Linked DNA regions of Lonchura striata. The protein of the gene in region 2 interacts with the protein of the main gene of each other region in a pairwise test. Links are inferred from orthologs where the notes say so. Each region holds a gene or a part of one and is shown on either strand. Other genes may lie near its edges.

Region 1 (7,336 bases), on a different chromosome or scaffold from region 2:
TAGTTGATCTTTCAATTTAATTTACAAAGCCCAGTTGCTAAGTAGGGCAGTGGAAGAGAGGTTGTGTGACTTGACACCTGGCCAGTAAGACACTAAGTAAAATTATGGAGTTCCCTAAGGACACAGAACCCCAATGTCAATACCAGAATTACAGCTCTTCATAAGGGATTGCTCCAACCATCAATCTCTGAAGAATTTTTAATAATCTAAATCCTTCATACCTTGACATAAAACTTAATCTAAAGCACTGGAAAAGTTTTACCTTTCATTCTTCACATCTTCAAATGCTACTTATCTGACTTGAAATGCATCCAGCCAATGAAACTGAACTATTATTTACAGCTTGTAAAATAGAAAAAAAAAAAAAAAACAAAAAACAAAAAACCAAAACCCAGGCATATGTCTTCCCAGGAAATTATAACTTCTTTTCCTCTTTTATGTGACATGCAGGTAGGTAAGAAATTCTGTGGAATTCTACTGGCTTCTGTCTCCAGAAAACCCACTTTCTTGAATAGTAATATCAGCACCAATATCCAAACACAAATCCTTTACACTCCTTACTATAACACTGGTAGATTACTTCTACCTCACTTTAATCCTGCCTATTCCAGACAGTACTTTTGTTTATATATGTATACACACACAGAAACACAGAGACACATAGACACAGTATGCTTTCAAATACATGAGCTATGTTTGAACTTCTAAGCTAAAACTTCTAGAAACAGATGTGGTCTGTATAGGACAATCCAGACACAGCCTAAAAAGCGTTTAAAAAATTTAGAAGTGTTGATGACTACCTAACAACAAGATAGAAGAGACATCAATAACCAAAATTAATTTTTAAATATACAAGAAAACATGACAGAATACCTGATATCAAGACCAAATATCTACTTAAATAACAGTTTAGACTCCAGTGAGTCTTCAATCAATGCTGCTTACATCAGCATTTCTTGGACACATATGCAAGAGCATCTACATATACTGAAAGACCAGCCTACTCTTTGTCACTTGGAGGGTAAGCTACAAAGTCATTAGAAGTGAAATCTGGAATTATTTTCCAGAAGTAATGCTACCTGCTTTTAGCAAATACTGCATCATCAGAACACCTGCACCAGCATTACTTAGTAATGGCCAGCAGCCAAGAGACTGCCTGGTATAAAACCTGCTGATCTTTACTTGAATGTACTTCTTACCATGTCCAAAAAAACCACGGGAAACCCATTTAGTTTTAGATACTAACAGCTGCTGTTGATCTGCCAAGTTCAGTGCTGGACAGGGATACTACTGGTAAACAAGTCCAATTAACATCACACAACCAAATTTTTTCACCACTCTACTACTTGGTGTCTCCAAGCAGGGGCTGACAGCGGTAATGAAATTGTTAGGATGAAACATGACCAGCTTATTGTTTTTCAATAAATGTTTTGCCTCAACTTTGTTTCATGCCTTAACTAGCTAATGTCAGTCCAGAATACATCCAAAATCTGAGATAAAGCCAACAGCCACCTTCAATAAAACATTGACACAAACTACTGGACAGCTCACAAAGTTGCTGTCCGATATTTGGGACCTCAGCAACAGCCCTTAAACTCTCCAAAGGTTGTCCCAATCTACAGCACAGCGTTAACCCAGTGCCTTGCCATTTAAGCACGCCATCACCCACACCTCTTCAGAAGTGGAGATGCAGTGCTGTGGAGATGGCCCTACTCATGCCGGTGCTTGGCCAGCTCTAGGAATATCATTTATGTATATCTCATCCTAGCTTAATCCTGACCAAAGTAGGCAATGACAAGCATGTGTCCATTTTGCCCCATGTCTGATTCTCTCCCTTCTTCCCGAGCCCCTGCTCCATAAGGCGTTCTTTACACTGTCTTCCTGAATAAAAGGCAAGAGGTCATGAGGAAAAAAAATGGCCGAAAGAGCAGTATTATGCAATAAGAGAAGAAATGCAATAATAACTCATCCTCTCCTGGAGATTTCCCATCACCCTCATGCTTTGCAAGCTGGATTAGAGCAAGCGTGACAGCCAGCCGGCTCAAAGGCCCACTGAAGTGCCCTGCGGGCAGGCTCCTCAGCCCCGGGCCTTCGCTGGGGAAACAAAAAGGGATGCTCACAATCCAGGTGCTTTTTCTTGGGCCCCATCACTTCATGCGTGGTGGCTTTGCAGACGGCTCTGGCTACGGCCGATCCCGTAACGCTGTACTGAGCAGCTGCGATGCGATCTGTCAGCGTCTGACCCGACATCTTCGAACGGCGTGCTGGCTGCTGCCTGCTCTGCAGGGGCGAAAGACACGGAGGGGAGGGGGAGATGCCGGGTCTGTGGCCGGGGGGAGGCACGGCAGGGGCGCACAGGCAGGGGCGCACGCAGCCGGGCACTCGCACAGCCCCGCCGCACGCACAATGGTCCCCCGGGCAGCCCGGCCCCTCCCGAGGCGCAGCCCCCCCGCCCCGTTGTGTAAGCCTCTGCCTCGCTAGAAGCCGCCCGGGGCAGGAAGAAGGGTATTTTAGGCGTTGCGAGGAACAGATGAAGGGGAAATAATGACGGCAGCTGAAGGAGGCTGCACACAAATACGGTGCGAGCCCCCGGGATGGGGGGCAGGCATCCCTCCCGCACCTGCCTCGGCAGCGCCCGACCCGCGGCGGAGCCTCCGCCGCGCCCCGGCCCCGCCGCACCGCCCGCGCCGCCGCCTCCCGGGTGGGAGATTATGGCACCGTTGCGCCATGTTCTGCCCTCCCGGTGCCTCCCCACCGCCACCCCCGGTCCGACAGGGATCCCCCCCCGCCCCGGAAAGCGGGGCGCCGCTGGATGCGGCGGCGCCCAGCGCCATGCAGCATCCCGGCGCGGGGGGACAGCGGGATGGACCGAGCGCCAGCGGCCGACCTGTCAGCGCGTCCTTCCCTCCCGTCCTCCTGCCGCCGCTCCGGGGAGGGCACTGCCGGCCCCCGCCGCGACCGCTGCCCGGCCCGGCCCGCTGGCGAGGCGCTCCGCGGCGCAGCAGCCCCCCCCGTCCCCCCGGCCCCGGTAGCCCCAGGTGCCGGGCGGGCTGCACCCTCCCGCCGCCGCCGCCGGGGATGCGCTGGGCGTCCACGCCCGGGAGCCGACGCTGCTATTTCCAGCCGGCGGCTTAATCCTCCCGCAGCCTAATCCCCGCGCTACTGCCGCAGCAGCGCCGCCCCCTAGCCCGGTGCAGAGGGCGGGACGGAGCGGAGCCGAGCGGCGCTGCCGCCGCAGATCGGTGCCCCGGCGCAGTCAGGTGACCCCGTTCCCCACCCGCATCCCGCTTCCCGGAGCTGGCGGCGGGCACGGCCGGAGATGCTCCCACGCGGGGGCTGTCCCACTGGGGATCCGCGACTCGGGGGAGCCGAAGCCACTGATGCTTCCCCGGTCTGCATCATGGTCCTGTCGTGAAAAAGCTTAAAATAGTGCCTTGAGGGATCCCAAAACCGCACATAGACTAGATTTCTCCAGAATGTTGTTATGATGTTATTGTTATCAAAAACATCTGAAATATGTCCCCAGAATGGGTTTTCTCTCTGTTACCTAAGGTACCCTACGGGTCTTGGTTACAACCCAACCACACTCGGGAGGATATAGTGCTACAATTTTATTGTGTAATTGAAGCACACCGGAGTGATCCGTGGAGTATTGGGAAATGTGGCGTACATATATTACCATAAATTGGCTGAACTTAGTTTTGGAGTAAAGTGATTTAAGTGGGTGGGGTCTAAACGAAATGGCACTGGTAGCAATTACTTTGAGCTGCCGGTAGAACAAATTTCAGAATACGATGTCAGTGCATGTTATTAATTAGCTGCAGAAAACACTATGTACAGTCAGTATTGAAGAGTTGTGCACACCAAGTGATAATTGGGTTGTGTTGCACACAAAGACACACAGCACCATTTTCATTTGTTATACCAGGAGCAGAACACTGACAAAGGATTGTGGTCTGCGACAGTATGAAACAGCAGGTTTTTTACTACTTCATTCTTTCTTTTTTTTCTTTTTTCTTTTCTTTTTTTTTTTTTTTTTTTTTTTACCCAACAACGCCGACGTTTTAAAATCCTAGGTAGCCTGAAAGCTTGAGAATGCTGTTAAAATAATGGTCAAAAATTCAAGTTAGCTTTTCTGTGGGAAAATTCTTACAAAATAGCTGTAAAATGGTGCCTTGGACCACTGAAACCAGGTGTTCAGATTTGCACATTTTTGATATTGGTTAAATCTCCTTCTTTTTTGCAGAGCAGATAGAGATTTTTTGGATTTCAATATTCAAAGGTTTTCTCAAATACAGTTTGACTACGGAGAGGAATTCAATTTCAAAAAAAGATGTAAAGTGTATATCACTGTTATAAATCAGCATTAGGAATCTGCCAACTTTGAATATTTCCATAAGAGAGATTCTCATATTCCAATAGTGAGAATGTGTCCGTACTTCTCACTTCTCTTCCATATTAAGTAGCAAATAAATAAACCATGGAGTTGCACAGAAAGATAATACTGTGCTCTTTAGCATTACTGTAGTCCACCGTTCAAGTATGGACAAATTTTAGTAATACTTAGAAATTGTTTCTGTTACCACAGAAATGTTAACTTCAATGCCTAGGAATTTGTCATTAATGATATGATTTGTGGCAGCTAAAAGCATGTCTTAGCAGAAGCACACAAACAATTTTTCCCTGTACTTCACAATTGGTTATTGGGGTTGTACTCCCGATTGATTTCAGAGGAAAGAAAGAGTTGGGATCTAATGATACTTCATGTTTCATTACTGGCGTTGAGTGACTCTGAACTTTTCTTGGTAATACTTTCAGGAGTTTAGAATGGCTTGACTTTAAAAGAGAAACTTCCTTTTAAACTGATATATTACAGAAGAAAAACACAAATTGTTTTGGACCTTGTAGACTCCATAGAGCAGAAATTTAGGATGGTTTTATTTCCTGCAAGCATGATAGTTTTCAGTTTTATGCTAGTCTAAGTATTTAATTAGTGATGCAGCTTTTATTAACATCTAGTGTACGTCTTCATTGTGAAGGTCTGGATACTTTCTAACTAGTCTGTGTTGTTATCAACAGATACTGTCACTGAGATTCTCATCTGTGTCACCAAAAATTGTGATTGTTATTACTCAGCTAATTTTATATCTTCATATCGCCAATATATTGAAGCAGAAGATAAGTCAGATAATCTATATTGCCTTAAAATTTATGCAGTTTCTTAATGAAAACCTAAGGTGCTTTAAGAAGGTAAGACAAGAAGATATTAGTACTCTTTAAATTCAGAGTAAAGGGATGTGATCTACTGAATCTGTATTGCTTTTGGATTTAAAACCAAACACCAGTCCCCCAAAAATAAGCCAACCCCACAAAACAGAAGTTCGTGTTTGTATTGAAAACCGCACAGGAAATAGGAGCCATCTTGAATAAGGATACACCAGAGAGAGCTGACTATGACTAAATAGATGGGGAGTTGGGGTTGACATTTCACAGCCCCAAGATGAAGTCCCAAGAAGCTGCCTGGTGTGCTGGTGTGCTGGCTCTCTGAAACCCAGGTTCACAGCTTGGCTGGTGGAGGTCTGGATGAGGGACATATGAGCAGCTGAAAAGAGTTCTTGCTGTTAAAAATATCACAGAATCAGTGATGTCTTTCTTGACTCTTTGTAAATGTGCTTTCAACTTAATAATGAGAGCCTTAAAGAAGAGGAGATATATCAATGACAAACTGAATAGCCATTTTGAAGCAGAAAGATAATTCTTAACTTAATTTGAAGTGAGAAAAATAGAGTTGGTCCGTATTAACCTCACATTCAAGCACACGTGGAGGGAAGGAGGCATGTGTAAGGGCTGATTCATCACACCTCACACCTGAATTCTGCCCCAGAGACGCCCATCTCTTCGGTGATACAAGGCATGTAGACTATTTTTGTGCACTAAGGTGCAATGAAAATCTGGTTGTTTCTCACCATAATTCTGCTTTTTTTCCATTTTTTCCCCAGTTTCTCCTGCCAAGTCTTCCAGTTCTCCAGCCAGCTTTGGTGCCGTTTCCTCCTGCCTTCACAGGCCAGGCAGAGATTTAGACCCAGCTTGTCTGTGCCTGAGCTTGCATCAGGCCCAGTGCTGTTGTTCTGCTTCTACCTCTTACTCTTAGGGCCAGTGGTACAAACAGAGCTCCTGGAGAGGCTGGCTGTAACCATAGTGATAGCAGCAGTCCTAAACAGATCTGTTTAGCTCTAGGAAGGGGGAAAAAAGACTTTTCAAATGAGAAGCATCCTCCTGACTTTGTATCAGGTTGATAGAGCCAGGTAGTTTGCATTAGGCTTTCTCTACAATGCAACAGAAGTTACAACACAACAGTAGGTGCTCAAATAATGCAATACTCAGGAGTTTCTGGGCTTCTTCTGTCAGATATAACCTCATTGCTTGGTCTTGTAAAGGTTCTGTCCCCAAGTGTTTATTCAGCCTCTGTACTCACCATCCTTAATGGCATTTGTTTCAGTAGTTCCTTTGGTTGCTGTGATATAAAGCAGCAATGAGAAAGCAGTTTGTCAATTTTCCAGTCTGAATGATGGTCTGAGAAGGATGTAGCTTGAATGTGTTTGTACATCCCAGGCAGAAGATTCATCTCATTTTGGAGAACTACTTGAGCTACTGAATCTAAGAGAACTGCCATACACAGTGGTAAGGGTACAGGCTTGGTGGCATGAGTATATACTCTACATCCCATAGGAAAGGCCTTTTTTGTGTCTTTGAAGATCTTTGAATATTAAAAAGTTAATTTAGTTAAGAGAGAGAATGAATAGAAAAGTTACACAAAGCATGGCTGATGAGCTCTTTTACTGCTGGTTAAGCCATGCCAGAGTGAGGTCATGTTCTGCAGAATATGGAGTGCCTGCATATTAGAGCTGGTTACAGAAAGATGGTAATTGGCCTGTTCTGTACAGATGATAAAGATGTGTTCCTTACCCAGCATGCTGGTTCCCACAAGGACCACCTTAAAATCAGTATTATTTTAGAGACCTCTGTTGACTGATGCATTAATGGACCCCATCATCCACATTACAAGGATAGCTTTTGCTGCTGGAGTAGTTTTCTGGGTTGTGTCTGGCAATAACACTGAGGTTAATAGACTAGAAAGGGGACAGATGGACATATGTATCAGAAATGGAGCAAAAGTCCTGTATTTGTGAAAGTCAGTACCTGTGAAATTCCTTACTATTTAGTATTGATTTTGGTCACAAATTTTGTAATCCTGATAGAGCTTCCAAAGCAAAAGTCTGGAAGTATGAAGCGTATTGCACTTCCACACAACAGATTCAGACTAGGCTTAAATTTG
Region 2 (6,998 bases):
TATTTTATGAATGTAACAATTCAGTGTAAAAACATAATATTTCTGTGAAAGAATGCAATAATTCTGTATAAGAACAGCTCCTGCAGTTGTTTTTAACCAATTATCAAATTTTGCCATTATTGTATTTCCATAATCAAAAAAAAGCACAGTGGAGAAATTACTTGCATTCCACGATTAAGAGATTTGACTGAAAGGAGATAAAGCCAAAGGAACTGGTTATTTAAGTAATGCATCTGTACCCCAAAATGTTAAAGGTTCAGAAGTTTCATTTTGTGCTTCAAATCTAATAAGTGTTGTTAAAAGACAAACAAATAAAGTGAACAACAGTAAGCAATAAAATCCTTAATATTCAGAATGCATTTGTGTGGGAAGCTGGCTCAAGCTCTTGCTGAAGATCAAGAACTCTCTATCTGCTGTTATTGTTATTAAGGGGTGACAAAATGTTTCTACTGTGCAATTAGTGACAGCAGAGGGGTAATTAAAACACAGAATATTTGGGTTGGACAAGACCTCCAAGGTCATCAAGTCCAAGCTGTGACTGATGCCCACCTTGTCACCAGCCCTGAGTTCTGAGTGCCACCTCCAGGTGTTCCTTGGACACCTTCAGGGATGGGGACTACACACCACCCTGGGCAGCCCCTGCCAAGGCCTGAGCACCCTTTCCATGGGGAAATTCCTGTTGATGTCCACCCTGAGCCTGCCCTGGCCCAGCCTGCGGCTGCTCCCTCTCCTCCTGTCCCTGCTCCCTGTGTGCATAAAATCTGTATCATCTCCTACCTTATTTAAGCAACACCTCCCAATTGCCTGAAGGAATTCATTGGTTTTCTCAGGCTCGTGTCCAGCCACAACTCGTGCTGGTTTCACTGACAGTGGCTCTCCTGTCACCATCACAACAGCATCGATGGCCTTCTGAAGGAAGTTGATTTTGGAATCCTTATCCTGGTAAAACAGCAATTAAGAGAAAATTTTTATCTCCACAATAATCATGTTTGTTTTAGTTTTACAAATATCCTTTAATAACAACCTGCCCCAGCTGCCCTTCACTAGAGATGATGTCTTCCAGTGATAACATAAAATCAGAAGTAAAAATAAAAGATCAAATAAACAAAGTAAAGCCAAGTGAAATTTCACAGAAGTCCTCACAATTAAGAAATCATCATGATTTCAGTCCTCCTTACAGCTCTCTCCTGTTGATTACTCAGAAAAAATTATTCTCCAGATCTTCTACAACTCCAAGAGAGATCACAGTAAGGAAGCAGCTGAGTCTTCATCCTGACCAGTTTTGGGAAGAGGAACTTAAGGCTGAGACATTTTCCCCCACGCTCCAGGATTTTGATTTCCTCTGCCTGAGCTCTGGAAAACCCCAAGGACTTATCGGCTGTGAAAGAAATTTGTGAAACAAATTCTCAGAGACATAGCAGCACGTAGATGCAACAAAGACCTGCTCAGGAGCAGCTGGGAAATCTGCTTTTTGGGTCAACAAGGACACTATCAAGAAACCAAACAATTCAGTTATAAATTACTTAATTTTAGTTATCCTGACGGCAGTAGGAACAGTCACAGAAATAAACACACACATTAATCAGTGACTAAAACATGCAAGAGCTGGCTGGAGGGATGAGGAGTCAGAGCTCACACTTCAGTTGCTACATTAAACAAACACCATGGGATCAGCTGCCTAAGTGGCAACACACAAACACTGCTCTGTTTGCCAGGAATCAGCAACCAGAGCTCCCAAATCAGGATGGGAGCTGGGAACTCAGCATCAGCTCAGCCAAAAATCAGAGGAAAGCAGCAGACAGAGAGTAAAGTCAACCTTGGACTTAAGGAGTTTTCAGTAATAATATCAAACTCCTCTTTCAGTAATCAGCCAGTTTTACACAGCAATAAAGCTACTGCATATCCTAGATAGGTGAGTCCTGGGGATATTTATAAACAAAGATATATAGAGCAGTAAGTTAAGGGCCATGGATTCTCTTGAGAGACCACAAGACTCTTTAAAACCAGAAATTTGGACACAGAACTATAGGTGTTCACCCCATGGAAAGTATATTATACCCCACAGGCAGGATTTACAACTTCTTCACAAAAATAACAACAGCTCCTTGGTGCTGAACACAGAAAAGACCAAAAGAACCTTCTGGCGAGTTGCAAAAAACACTGAAAACTAAATAAATAAGGAAGTCCCATGCCCACCTTGACATTATCAGACTTCAACTCGAAATCTGTGTAAAGTCCTTTCAGAAAACCTGTCACTCTGATCACCTAAAAAACAGAATGGGGTAAGTCAAGAACATTTAAAGCCTCTGCTCAATAAATCTTGTGTGGCAGCAGGAAATGTATTCTTCGTGGGAAGGGTGGTGAGGCACTGGAGTGCAGTCCCCATCCCTGGAGGTACCCAAGGAAGGCCTGGACATGGCACTCAGTGCTCCGGGCTGGTGACAAGGGGGGCATCGGGCACAGGCTGGGCTCAGAGATCTCGGGTGGCTTTTCCAACCTCAAGGATTCTGGGATTCTGTGATATTTCACTACCCCAGGCTGCTCCAAGCCCCACTGTCCAACCTGGGCCACTTCCAGGGGCAGCCACAGCTTCTCCGGGCACCCTGTGCCAGGGCCTGCCCACCCTCACAGGGCAGAATTCCTTCCCAAAACCCCACCTAACCCTGCCTCTGCAGACGTGACCCCCTTTCCGACCGCCACACGCGCCTTTCCACCCCAAACTCACGCAGTGCCCAGAGCCCCGCGATTCACACACCGCTGAGGGCACGCCCCACAGGCTTCCACACACCCACCTCGCAGATCAGGTCGTGCAGGTAGCGGAAGGGCGGCTTGCTCAGCAGCGCGTCGGTGAGCGGCGGCTTGCGGATCACCTGCCCCAGGGTCTCCCGCGTTTGCCGCGACACCGCCTCGTTCATCGCGGCGGGGCCGGGCCGGGCCGCGCCGGGGCTCGAACCGGCACCGCGGCGGGGCTCGAACCGGCACCGCGGCGGGGCTCGAACCGGCACCGCGGCGGGGCGCGCCCGCCCCCGGCCCGCCGCTCCCGGCGTGCCCCGCGCGAGCCGCCGGTCGCTAAGGGGCGCCGCGGCCATAGCAACCGGCCCGGCCCGCTCCGCCCTCAGCGAGGAAAACCCGGGAAACAGCCCCGAGACACCCGGAAACAGCCTTAAAAAACATAGCAACAGTCCCCAAAACCCTGGAAACCACCCTAAAATCCCTGGAAACAGCACCCAAATCCACGGAAACAGCCCCAAACCCCCCACAAACAGCCCCCAAATCCCCGGAAACAGCCCCAGAAACAGCCCCCAAGCCTCCCAAAAATAGCTCCCAAAGCCCCCATAAACAGCCCCAAAATCCCCGGAAACAGCCCCAAAATCCCCAAATATAGCTCCCAAAGCCCCCATAAACAGCCCCAAAATCCCCGGAAACAGCCCCAAAATCCCCGGAAACAGCCCCAAAATCCCCAAAAGTAGCCCCCAAAGGCCCCCATAAACAGTGCCCAAAACCCCCGGAAACAGCCCCCATAAACAAACTCCAAATCCCCAGAAACAGCCCTAAAACCCCAATAAACGGCCCAAAATCCCCAGAAACAGCCCACAACCCCCCCCAAAACAGCCTCCAAAATCCCCATAAACAGCCCCCAAATCCCCGGAAAACAGCCCCAGAAACAGCCACAAACCCCTCCAAAATAGCTCCCAAAACCCCCATGAACAGCCCCAAAATCCCCAGAAACAGCACCCAAAACCCCCATTAACAGCCTCAAAATCCCTGGAAACAGCCCCCAAAACTGCAGAAACAGCACCCAAAATCCCCATTAACAGCCCCCAAAAACGCAGAAACAGCCCCTAACCATTGGAAGCAGCCAAAAAACCTCTGGAAACAGCCCCAAAACCCCCGAAAAGAGCACCAAACCCCCTGGAAACAGCCCCCCAAAACCCCTGGAAACAGCCCCAAATCCCCCATAAACAGCCTCAAAACCATGCCCCCCTACCCCTCAGAGCAAGAGGCAGTGAACAACGTGTTAGGGAGACATGCTGTGTGTCAGCAGCAGGAATTGGAGCAGGAAAAGTTTTTTTGTTGTTGTTTTTTGTCTTGTTTTGTTTTGGGGTTTTTTTTCTGTTTGTTTGTTTTTGCTTCATCACTTAAGAGGTGACTCTGTGGGACCCAACACAAGAGAAACAGGGACTGCAAATCCAGGAGAGCAGGGAGATGCTGCAAGGCTGGAGCCAGGCTGGGAGAGCTGGGGGTGCTCACCTGGAGAGGAGAAGGATCCAGGGAGAGCTCAGAGCCTCTGCCAGGGCCTGAAGGGGCTCCAGGAGAGCTGGAGAGGAGCTGGGGACAAGGCATGGAGGGACAGGACACAGGGAATGGCTTCCCACTGCCAGAGGGCAGGGATGGATGGGATATTGGGCAGGAATTGTTTCCTGGGAGGTGCTGGCACTGTTTTTAGAGCAGCTGTGGCTGCTCCTGGATCCCTGGGAGTGTCCAAGGCCAGGCTGGACAGGACTGGGAGCAGCCTGGGATAGTCGATGGTGTCCCTGCCATGGCAAGAGGGTGGCACTTGATCACCCACTCCATTCCAACCCACAGCCTTTTGTAAAGAAAGAGTCAGATTTGGGAATTAATGGAGGTATTACAAAGCAAATCCATCTGGTCTTAGTGCAGGCAAGGAAATTTTTCCAGCAAAAAGGCAGTAGACACTTCTATACCAAGAGGGTAATTTCACCTGGGCTCCTGGCAGGTGCTCAAGGGGGGAAGTGCATTTTACCTTCCCCCCTAACCCTGAGGTTCCCAGAAAGGCTCTGACTCCAGGATCTGGTGATCCTGGGAAGAACAGGAGGTGTTGACAGCTTCCACATCCCAGGGCATTGGAAGAAGTCTCAGAGGAAGCAAGAAGCTGCTCTGTGAAAGAGGGAATGTTTATTTTGGGATTGTGTAGTTTATCTGGGCTTTTTCACTGACTATCTAGGAAGCATCTGAGATGCCTGAAGAGGAATCTCAGGGGGGAATTTACATTTGGCCTCATTAGCTCATTTTCCCACACAGGCACCCCAAGGAAGCACAGGTCCATTTAACTGGAAACCAAAACCCACGATCAGGGCTTCACCACCCTCACAGGGAAGGATTTCTTCCCAATGGCCCTAGTAAACCTCTTGGAAATGCCATGAACTCTGCACCTGTCAGGAAGGAAAGGATGCTGAGAAAAATGTAGCAATCTTTCAGCTCAACTCTGTACCTGGAAACCCCCAGTCTCAAGGTCCAGAATCCCAGAAAGGTCTGAGCAAGCTGGGATGAGGTAGATGACCAAAACAAAACAAACAAACAAACAAACAAAACCACCCCCCCAAAAAAAAAAAACAAAACACCAACACCCTAAATATAATTTTTTTCCCAGAAATTGGCTCAGTAGTCTCTAGAAGCCAATTGCTGATTTCAGTCAAAACCTGTTGCTCAAAATAACCACTCCAAACAACTCATTAAAACTGGGATAAAAAAAATTCCAAGGCTTTTCATAAGTCTAGGGCATCAGAGTGGCATTGTGTCCTGATGGAGGAACATTCCCTGCCAACCTCAGTGCTTTCCCCACAGGGATTGGAAACATAGGACGAAAACAAAGCTGCTCCTGCACTCAGAGCCCTGAGCCAGGACCAAACCAGGAGCCTCAGGAAAAGACAACAGCCACAAGGAAAGGGGAAACCTCCCCCAGAGCTGGGAATGTTGGTTCAGGAACGTTGGAAGATGAATGCTGATTAATACTCATGTCAGAAACCAGTTTGTGCCATTCTCAACCAGTGAGACATCCACAGATAACCCAACTAGGCAGATAAAAATGACATTTAATTTTGTGAAGAACACTTGAAAAATAAAGATGAAAGCTCTTCAAGGCTTTGCAAATAACCATCAGAACCCACAGAGCCAAAGACTCCATTTTTAAAAGGTGCTTTCTCTCCCCAGCCCTGTTTTCCATTAACTCCCAATGTGGAGTGGCCCACAAGAGTTTCAAAGAAGAAAAAAAAAATTCATTTTGAGCCAACATTAGAAATAATCCAAGATTCGTTCAGTGCAGGTGCTGCTACATTACACTTGAACAAAGGCACAAAATTCCCTCTTCTAATTTTCATTTTGATTTCTCTAAACTTGGTGTTCTCAGGGAGAGACCAGAGTTATTCAAGAGAGGAAGGCTGAGCTCAGTCCAGCTCTCCAGCAGGAACCGGAGGAACTGAAGTGACAGCAAATAAATCCAATGGACTGTAACCATGTGGGAACACAAACCTTTGGAATCGGCACCTCTGACCCCTGCTGTAAACCCAGGCTCCCAAGAACACCTGATATGGAAAGAAGGTGACACAAATTAAGATGGGAAAACATCCACTGCCCTCCCCTCAGGCAGAAAATGTATCCATGAAACTGGGATTTCAGGATCCAAGTGAGTGAGGACGTTAACAGCCCCTTCTGCAGAGTATCAGCCCCAAAAAGCACAGGAGTACCTGCTGAATTCTAAAGATATGCAGAGAAATAAAAAATAATATAATTGTGTGCTTTATGGTGCTTTTCACTTCTTTTTTTTTTTTTTTAGCTGCTAGCAAAGTGTCAGATTTTATCTTTATGCTGTCTCAAATGTAGTAGTGTTAACCTATAAAAGGTACATGAAAAATCTTACATTAGCCAAAATTTGGGAAATCTGCTCAACTGGCAGCTCCTACTACATACAGAAAATAGGTCAAATACTTACTGCAACCCCCAAAAGCAAACTTGTGTTTTGTCCTGTCATAATCACAGATTTAATTCAGGATAATCAGGCTCACTTTGGAGTTAATACTTCAGAGCCTTTGACCTGGAGCCCAGCTCACTGAGCTGCTCAAAATCAGCTCAGGACACCAAGAGAAACAGGTTCTCCAATATAAGAGAGTATCAGAACAGCTGGAAAGATGAGAAATGAGGGAAATTCCTCTGAAGAGGAGCCCTGAAAATAAATGCCTTTTTCCTGAGTACAGTAAAAC

What was found. The genes of interacting proteins can lie anywhere in the genome.
Region 1: the proteins of TRAF3IP1 (region 2) and SNAP91 interact in a two-hybrid assay, tested with the Homo sapiens proteins (2 studies listed by BioGRID and IntAct). The link is inferred for Lonchura striata from reciprocal best matches to the Homo sapiens genes TRAF3IP1 and SNAP91.

What each region holds. Positions count from the first base shown.
Region 1 is NC_134605.1:80,055,391-80,062,726, reverse strand, and holds the start of SNAP91 (clathrin coat assembly protein AP180), read right to left. Parts: upstream 3,006-7,336; 5' UTR 2,888-3,005; intron 2,281-2,887; 5' UTR 2,251-2,280; coding exon 2,121-2,250; intron 1-2,120. UniProt on the Homo sapiens protein: Adaptins are components of the adapter complexes which link clathrin to receptors in coated vesicles. Clathrin-associated protein complexes are believed to interact with the cytoplasmic tails of membrane proteins, leading to their selection and concentration.
Region 2 is NC_134610.1:36,519,216-36,526,213, reverse strand, and holds the start of TRAF3IP1 (TRAF3-interacting protein 1), read right to left. Parts: upstream 3,002-6,998; 5' UTR 2,916-3,001; coding exon 2,793-2,915; intron 2,266-2,792; coding exon 2,197-2,265; intron 940-2,196; coding exon 778-939; intron 1-777.